Linked DNA regions of Astyanax mexicanus. The protein of the gene in region 2 interacts with the protein of the main gene of each other region in a pairwise test. Links are inferred from orthologs where the notes say so. Each region holds a gene or a part of one and is shown on either strand. Other genes may lie near its edges.

Region 1 (3,925 bases), on a different chromosome or scaffold from region 2:
GCCGTGTAATTACTGACATATGTCCACCTGCTCATTGATTTCCCAGTGACCCGTCAAAAACGGTAGCATGGGAATTCGGATATGGCTCGGCGAGGGCCGAGCGCCACAACAATGAGAGCAGTGGCAGGGCGGTCTGATGTCAAACTGCAGCCAAATGATCGGTCGTTCAAAACTACTTTGGCAGCATTTAGCTGCGTCTTCTCTTCGCTCCAGATTCTGTGAACGCGTGACAAAAAGAAAAAATATTAAAAGTTCTTAAGCTTTGATTCTGCAGCAGATATATAAAGTTCTCATTTTTATGTTCATTATTTCGCCGCTGTCGTAAACCTCGTATTTTAAATGCTAACTTTACAGGAGAAGGAAAACATTCTAGTAAATATAAAAGAACATTTCAAGCAATTTTACATATAACAAATTTTCAAACGTAAAAAAAGTGAAACAAATACATAGATTTTGTATAACAACTAAAGTGTATTATGTTTAAACTGCTGTTGTCATTTGGATACTAGATTTTTAAAATTACCTTTTGGACACATACAAAATTAGCCGAAATTACTGTATCCAGTTAATGTTAAATAAAGTTAGAATGCAAAAAAGTGAAAATATCTTGGGATGATAATAATAATGTTATTTTTCGGTTTTTAGTATGATTTATGTTTGTAATGCTCTGGTTATTGTAAATTCTGCAATGATAATGAAATAATTGAAATAAATAAACGCACTTATTAAAATAACCACAAACCCCCCGAAAGGAATATAGATTAACATTTATGTATTTGTATATTAATAATAATAATAATAATAATAATAATAATAATAATAATAATAATAATAATAATAAAAATAATAATAATAATAATAATAATAATAATAATAATAATAATAATAATAATAATAATAAATGGTGTTTTCTTTATTTGATTTATCTCATTCTTCATCAGGGACTGGAGCTGAACAATGTCTATTTGCTGGAGCTGAGCTATAAATTTGAGCTCCATTTCATAACATCGCTAATTTATTGTCCTTCATTAAAAGTGAGAAATTATAGTAGAAGAAGTGGAACGGAGTGCTGCATTTGTTAGACCCCATTCTGTAATTGTTTTATCCGTGTGTTGCTTTCCGAAACCCCTCTTGCCTATGAATATGTGGCATATTTCATTACAGTAATAAGTTTAGGGCCTACCGTCTCCTGCATCAGTCTAGCGGTTGAGCCGGGGCCCCCAAACACAGTTTTAAAACTTTTAATATAAGGAAGATGATGATGATGATGACAAAAAAATTAAAATAGGGAATAGATGACGCTGATCGTGAAGTTTGTATTTGAGAGAACCTGCCGCGTCTAAGCGATTTGAGTTGATGAGGTGTTACTTTAGGGTAAAGTTTCGTTTAATATTTTTCAGTTTCACTCTCTTGGACATTTTGTAAATAGTGATGATTTTTTTGTCTTTTAAACTTAGCCAATTAGGTATTCGTTATCTTAAATAACTAATTGAAACTGACAACTCGCATCTACACTTATTTTTATTTCACTTTCTTAAATCTATGTATTTTTACACATATTTGTTCTTATAAAATTCGTTGCAGCCAGGGAAAAAATGTATCTCCTACACTGCAAATTTAAAAGAAAATGAAAAAATCATTTCAATGAAATTCATTGTAAAAATATTTTATTCCAATTCATTTGGAGAGTTTGTGCTTCATGAGATTTAGATAAAGGCCAAAGTACATTAAAACAACATCCAATAATAAAACTTTTATCCAACAATTTAAGGTGAATAAAAGAGGAAGCTTAAATATGTAAACACCTATTAATGAAGACTTTTTATATGTGGTATTTTGATAAATTATTTCGAAATGCGTATTACTGAACACGCATTCTCATTTACTTGACTGAGCTACCTGGAAAACACGCAAAATCCTTAAGAAGAAAACACATATAAACAGGCTGCTTATCATTTCAGTAAAACTTTAAAAGTAAACTTTTTAATGTAGTCATAATTAATTTAATCGGAATCGTATGTGATCTGTGACATGTCAAATTATATTAAGTTACGTTGCTGCTCCATTCTTATCCATTATCCACTCACATAAATCAATCATTCGAAAACATATGGATTTGTTTTTACATATTCAAATGTGTCAATAACAAAACCTAGTCATGAAAATGCACGTTTTAAAACAAACAATTAATTTTAATTAAAGAAGAGAAAATCGGGCATTTTAAATTATAGGTTATAGTTGCCGTTAGTAAAGTTCAGTTTAGTGTGATCCTCCACTTGCGCGCTACAGTTTACAATGTCACATAATCTCCCGGGTTGATTTAGACAGACGCGATTAAATGACAGAGATTAATAATTAATATTGAGCATCTGTAGTAAAGCGTTTCAAGGTCTCGGTACTCACTTGACTTGACGTTTAAAATATCCAAACAGCCACTTGTTGAGCTGGAACCTTTACTCATCTTGGGCTCCTCTTCCAGTTCGGCTGAGGGAAAGTCAGCAGCGGGTTTTAATCAGTTTTAGATCTTGTCGCAGCAGTCCGGGTAGGTGCCGGTGGAGATGCTGAGCGCTGCGGAGGCGGTGTGAGTGTCCAGTGTGTCTCCCCGGCGTGAGCTGCCCTGAAGCTGTATGATGTGGACCGGTCAGACCCGCAGTCCACGCGCATGCACGGGCTGGGAGGTGACCTACACACGGGATGACCCTTGGGCAGCCAAAGTTGCTGCAGTAGAGTTTGTTCTCGGTAAACGGGGCCCAGAACTCAGCGGTGAAAAAACACACTTAGATAGACCCAGCCGGTCAGTGTGAGAGGTGGAATAAATAACAGCAGGAGAGGGGAGAAAGCTCAGAGCGCAGAAATGCGGGCAGCCCCGGAGCCGCGCTGACTTTGTGATGTGCGCCGTCAGATTAAAGCCTTCGGGAATATGCATGAGAAGTATTTGAGGAGGAAGCAGGAGGTAGAGGAGGAGGAGGAGGAGAGGCCCAACTTCCCTTTTTGCCCACTTAGCTTTTTTCCCTGCCTTCTTCTACTCTAAGTTGGCGCATGACGTCACCTGCCGGGGTGGGCAGGGGTTGGAGAACGACAGACGGAGTGACGTTTCCAAAAGACTGAGAGAGTGAGAGTGAGCGACAGAGAGAGTGAGAGAGGGGGGCGGCAAAGACTAATCCACTGCTGTTTAGAGGGACTGATTAGCCAGAGTTAGCCAGGTTGTTTAACACCATTATAACGTAATTGTATAGTATATTTTATATGTTTGTATGTATCTATATAATATTTTATTCTAATTTACTGTATTTATTTTGTTGATTTTATTTCATTTGTAATACATTTTTTATTATTTATTTTTATTTTATTAATTTGCGTTTTTTATGTATTATTATTATTATTATTATTATTATTATTATTATTATTATTATTATTATTATTATTATTATTATTATTATTAATACACGCTTCCTATTTTTAATCTTAAAATAAAGTGGTTTCGAAGCTCGCGCACCTGTTGCTCCCCCCGAGCTGCATGGAATACAGCTGTGTCTGAGCCTTGCTCCTCTCTCCGCTCCGCTCCGCTCTTACTACTCTGGAGTGTCTTCTTCTAAAGACTTATTTATTCAGGACTCGTTAGTTGTACCTCGTTGACCACAATCAAACCCAACTGTAAATAAAAAAAAAACTTGCTGTTAACGGAAAATGTCCTTCGTCTTAAATGCATTAATATGCATAACAATGTCTTTATTATATATTTATTGAATCATTAGTTTTTTCTCATTGCGTCTTTCGCACTTCGTCAAAAACTGACTGCTGACATGGTGCGCGCGCTCTTACCGCTCCCTGCACTGTGCGTGTGTGCGCGCGCGTGCGCCGGGGACCCCGCAGTGCCGCACCTCCGCGCTGTAATGACGGTCATTCCCACGGTGGGCCGGGGGGT
Region 2 (3,925 bases):
GTTCTTGTGGGAGTCTTTTAAACTGAGTAATTAAAAATGATAAATATGTGATAAATCATAAAGCAAGTATTCATGCAATTTATATAAAACAAAAATATGGTTATTATTTTTTCAAAAGAAGATCAGATCTTACAGTGCAACTGCAAAAGAGTGGACTAAATAAATTGACAAAAATAAAAATAAAAGATCATGCAGTCTTAAGTTTAAGCGATAAAAAAATGACTTTCAACATCACTAAAACAAATTAAATGGATCCAGAGACTTAAAACGGACTGAAAATGCAAATTTAAAAAAGTGAGCAATTTAGCACTTGCTATTTTTTTTAATTTTAGAATCTTATTACTGAACTATAGCTAAGAATAATTCAGAAATAAAAAACATAAGCTATTTAAAAGTGAAGATCGCTTATATAAAGAAAAAAATGAATGAAACAAAAAATCTTAACATGTACTGAGTTCCGGCCGTGTTTTTTCCTAATATAAGTTATTGCATGTGAAACTGCTAAAAAAAAACACGACTTTATTAGTGTTTACGACTGAAACACAGCATCGGTGTCAGAGTACCGGTGTTGTTAAGTTTTTGGATATTAAGCCTACGAGTGTGTATCTTCATAGTAGATTTACTTTCTCTTAACCTACTTTTTAAGATTTCATTCAAAACTCAGTATAACCTAAATAAAGCACGTGGTTCCGGGGGTGAAACGGGCTATAGGTGTGCATAACAAGTTTCTCTCTCTTCCAACCCTATCGTGAAATATGTAGACAGAGGTGGCGGTAAAAATCGATCAGGTTCAAGTTCATTTCCAGTTTCTGATCGTAGTGTGCCTCCTAGCGACGAACGACACACACGGCTGGGTGAAAGAGAGACTGGCGTGCAACCTGGAGACGGCACTGAAACCCAACAGCCTGTGTGTGTGGGGGGGAACCCAATAATGTTACACGATACGTTACAACGTTACAACAACGTGGGATTTGTGTCAAGCATGTTTATCGTGTAAAAGGCAGCCTAATGCTTCTGGGTCTCGGTGTCGTTTGAAGAAAAGTCAGGAGAATAAGAAGAAACCGGTGTGCTTTTGCATAGTCTACTTGTCATATTCACGAGCACGATTATGGAGCTATAAAATATCAAATTGGGCGACTTTGCTCAACAACGAGAATATTCACGACCCTGTTCGGACACTTTTCGTGGGTTTCGTTAAAACAGAGCTTACAAAACAAATGTTTAGCATTTTCCGGGGGGTGAATTAAGAAAAAAAATCCCTGAATAAAATGTCTGTTTAAGTAGTTTAAATGCCACTGACGGTCTGTTGTATCTTTAAGTCAACACCGTTCTTTAGTAATTAAACTGAAATATAAATTACACACATTAAATATACGAGGAAGAAAAAGCACTGGTAGATGACCCATTCGCGTTCCTGTTGCTCCTGACGAATAAGGCTAAGTCTCAACATCAGCTCGAGCACTGGAGGAATCACGCTTTTTGTGAGAAAGGAGCTCAGCTTAAAGTTTAAAAGCGTACCTATTATATGTATCTAAGCTTTGCCCAGTTCGGTTGGAGAGGTGAGTCTAAAATAGCCAATACAATGACCGACCCTCTCCGTGGCTGCTGCCGGTGAGTAGTGCACCGCGCGCTCACGCCGCGTTTGTAAACAGTCGGACACGAGATTTCTTTCCCCTTCCCAATCAAAATCCACTTCCACTTTTTGAAAATCTTCCAAAAATAGTGCGAGAGGGGGGAAATCCTGCCCAGAATCGCTCGCAGTCGAGTGCTACGGGTTTACTCCACAACACAGCGCTGAGAGCCAGAGCTGGAGCTGCACACCTACCTACCACAGTCCGGTACCTTACACCGGGTCTTAGATGGCCAAACACACGGACTGGGGGCACGGGAGCCAACGCACGTGGCTTACGCTGAAAAATCGAGCCCTAAACTTCTCAGGAATTTCAGCGGGCGGCTCGCGGACGAAAACAGAAACTTTTCTCAGTAGCTGAAGGTGCGCGTGCTGCTGCTTGACGAGCGGCAGCGACTCGCCACGCTCCTCAGTGAAGTCCACTTGACCGCGGTCTCCGCTGTCCACTGTCCAGTGTGCCTTCAGCGGGCTTCGCTCCACGGTAGCTGCTGTTTTCCCCCTCTTTGCTGCACATTGCACACCGAGACCGACAAAACGAGAGGGTAAGGACGACACAACACAGACACACATGCGGTACTTACGCGAGAAATCCCGTTTGCTTAAGTGCTGGGGTTTGCCTTGCTTGCGGCGAGACATGGTGGTTGGTGGTGGCTTTCAGCTCGGTTCACATCGGGAGAGCCGGGTTAGAAGGGAGACTCCAGAGAAAATATCTTCATCAATGCCTTTGACATCCAAAATAAATTAGAAATAATACAAAGATGGCGCGGGGAAGATGAATTGTGGGATAGCCGTCATGGCTTTTTTGAAAAGAGAGAGAGAGAGAGATGAAAAAATGGCAAAAGCCCCCCTGAGCTGCAAGTTCAAGTGCGGACGTGACGTCCCTGCGAACTTGAACGTCAGGAGATGGATGGACACAGACATACAAAACATGGGCAGGGCAAAGCCGGGGAGTGGGAGGAGGGAGTGGAAATAACAAAACCAATGGACACTCATTAGGGGCTGGACATGAAAAATAGACCCGGAGAAGCCAATGGACAGAAAGATCAGGGGGCCGGACAAGAGGCGAGAGAGAGAGAGGGTGAGCGAGCGAGAGAGAGTGAGAGAGGGTGGGGGGGGGGGGGGTGTTTAATGAAAGCAGCGTGCAGTGTGTATGTGTGTGTGTAGGGGGTGGACGTAGGAACACGGACCACGAAAAGCCAATGGCCATGAGATTCAGGGGGGCTGGGAGTGGAGGGGGTGGTGTGGTGTGGTGTGGGGGGCTGGACATGCGCTATGCGAGGGGAGGGGGAGAGAAACCTTTAATAGAAGCTGCTTCAGTGGACATTGACCAGGGCTAGTGAGCAGCTGAAACACACGTTCAGCTCGTGGTCCAAACAGACAGAAGTGCAGAGCAGAGTTCACGCGGACGCGCGAAAAGAGAGAGAGACGGAGAGGGCGAGAACCTGTGCCGCTGCTGAAAAAAAAAAAACAACAACAAACGATCAGGTTGCGCGTGAACAGGACGGACAGGTTCCGCGCGAGGGCACGGAGGAGGCTCCTCATGTGTCCCCGAGCGGTGCCACATGCACAAACCCCTTTACTACAAAAATAACTTAGAGTTAAATATTAAGCGAGGGACCCTGTAAAAGTAAAAAAAAGAGTAAACGTGGACACTCGCAGGTTTTGTTGATGTTTTTGCGAATTATGTAGGTGGGACTTAAATATTCCACAAGTCTAGCCTAGTTTTAAAACCCATACCACAGTGACGACTATATGATGGGAGCAGCCCACTACAAAGGGGGCTGGGGTTTAACAAGTTTCAGCTGTGTTCAGGTCAGGATGGCGGCAGGGGGAGGGAGGAAGGGAGGGGGGGTTATGGAGGCTTTTCCACGCGGATTCCGCTATAAGATGCTCCAAACATTTTCAAATAACACCGCGTAAAGAGACAAGGGAGCGTGTAGGCTACACACACACATACACTCTCTCAGACACATACATGCGCGAGCGAGGAGGGAGGAAAAGAGCCACATCCTCGCCAAGTAGCTGAAATAGGACTATAGACTTAGCGAGGCTGTGCGACACGACCACGGCAGAGCGAGCATAGGCGCCAGTCTGCGGGGAAAGGGAGAGAGGCAGGAGGGACTCTGGGAGTGAGAGGAGCTGGGATGGAAAGACCAACCTGCGAGATAAGGTGTGGCCAGAGAGTGAGTGACATTGTTTTACAGGCTACATTGTTTTTGGTTCCTTTCGTTTTGGACAGGCGTTGCTCGGTGCGTGTGTGTGTGTGTATGCTGGAGTGGGCTGCTTTTAAGCTGT

What was found.
Region 1: the proteins of bcl11aa (region 2) and nr2e1 interact in a two-hybrid assay, tested with the Homo sapiens proteins (2 studies listed by BioGRID). The link is inferred for Astyanax mexicanus from reciprocal best matches to the Homo sapiens genes BCL11A and NR2E1.

Annotation. Positions count from the first base shown.
Region 1 is NC_064408.1:53,000,199-53,004,123, reverse strand, and holds the start of nr2e1 (nuclear receptor subfamily 2 group E member 1), read right to left. Parts: upstream 3,055-3,925; 5' UTR 2,462-3,054; coding exon 2,404-2,461; intron 1-2,403. UniProt on the Homo sapiens protein: Orphan receptor that binds DNA as a monomer to hormone response elements (HRE) containing an extended core motif half-site sequence 5'-AAGGTCA-3' in which the 5' flanking nucleotides participate in determining receptor specificity.
Region 2 is NC_064414.1:37,446,550-37,450,474, forward strand, and holds the start of bcl11aa (BAF chromatin remodeling complex subunit BCL11A a), read right to left. Parts: upstream 2,695-3,925; 5' UTR 2,267-2,694; coding exon 2,212-2,266; intron 1-2,211. UniProt on the Homo sapiens protein: Transcription factor. Associated with the BAF SWI/SNF chromatin remodeling complex. Binds to the 5'-TGACCA-3' sequence motif in regulatory regions of target genes, including a distal promoter of the HBG1 hemoglobin subunit gamma-1 gene.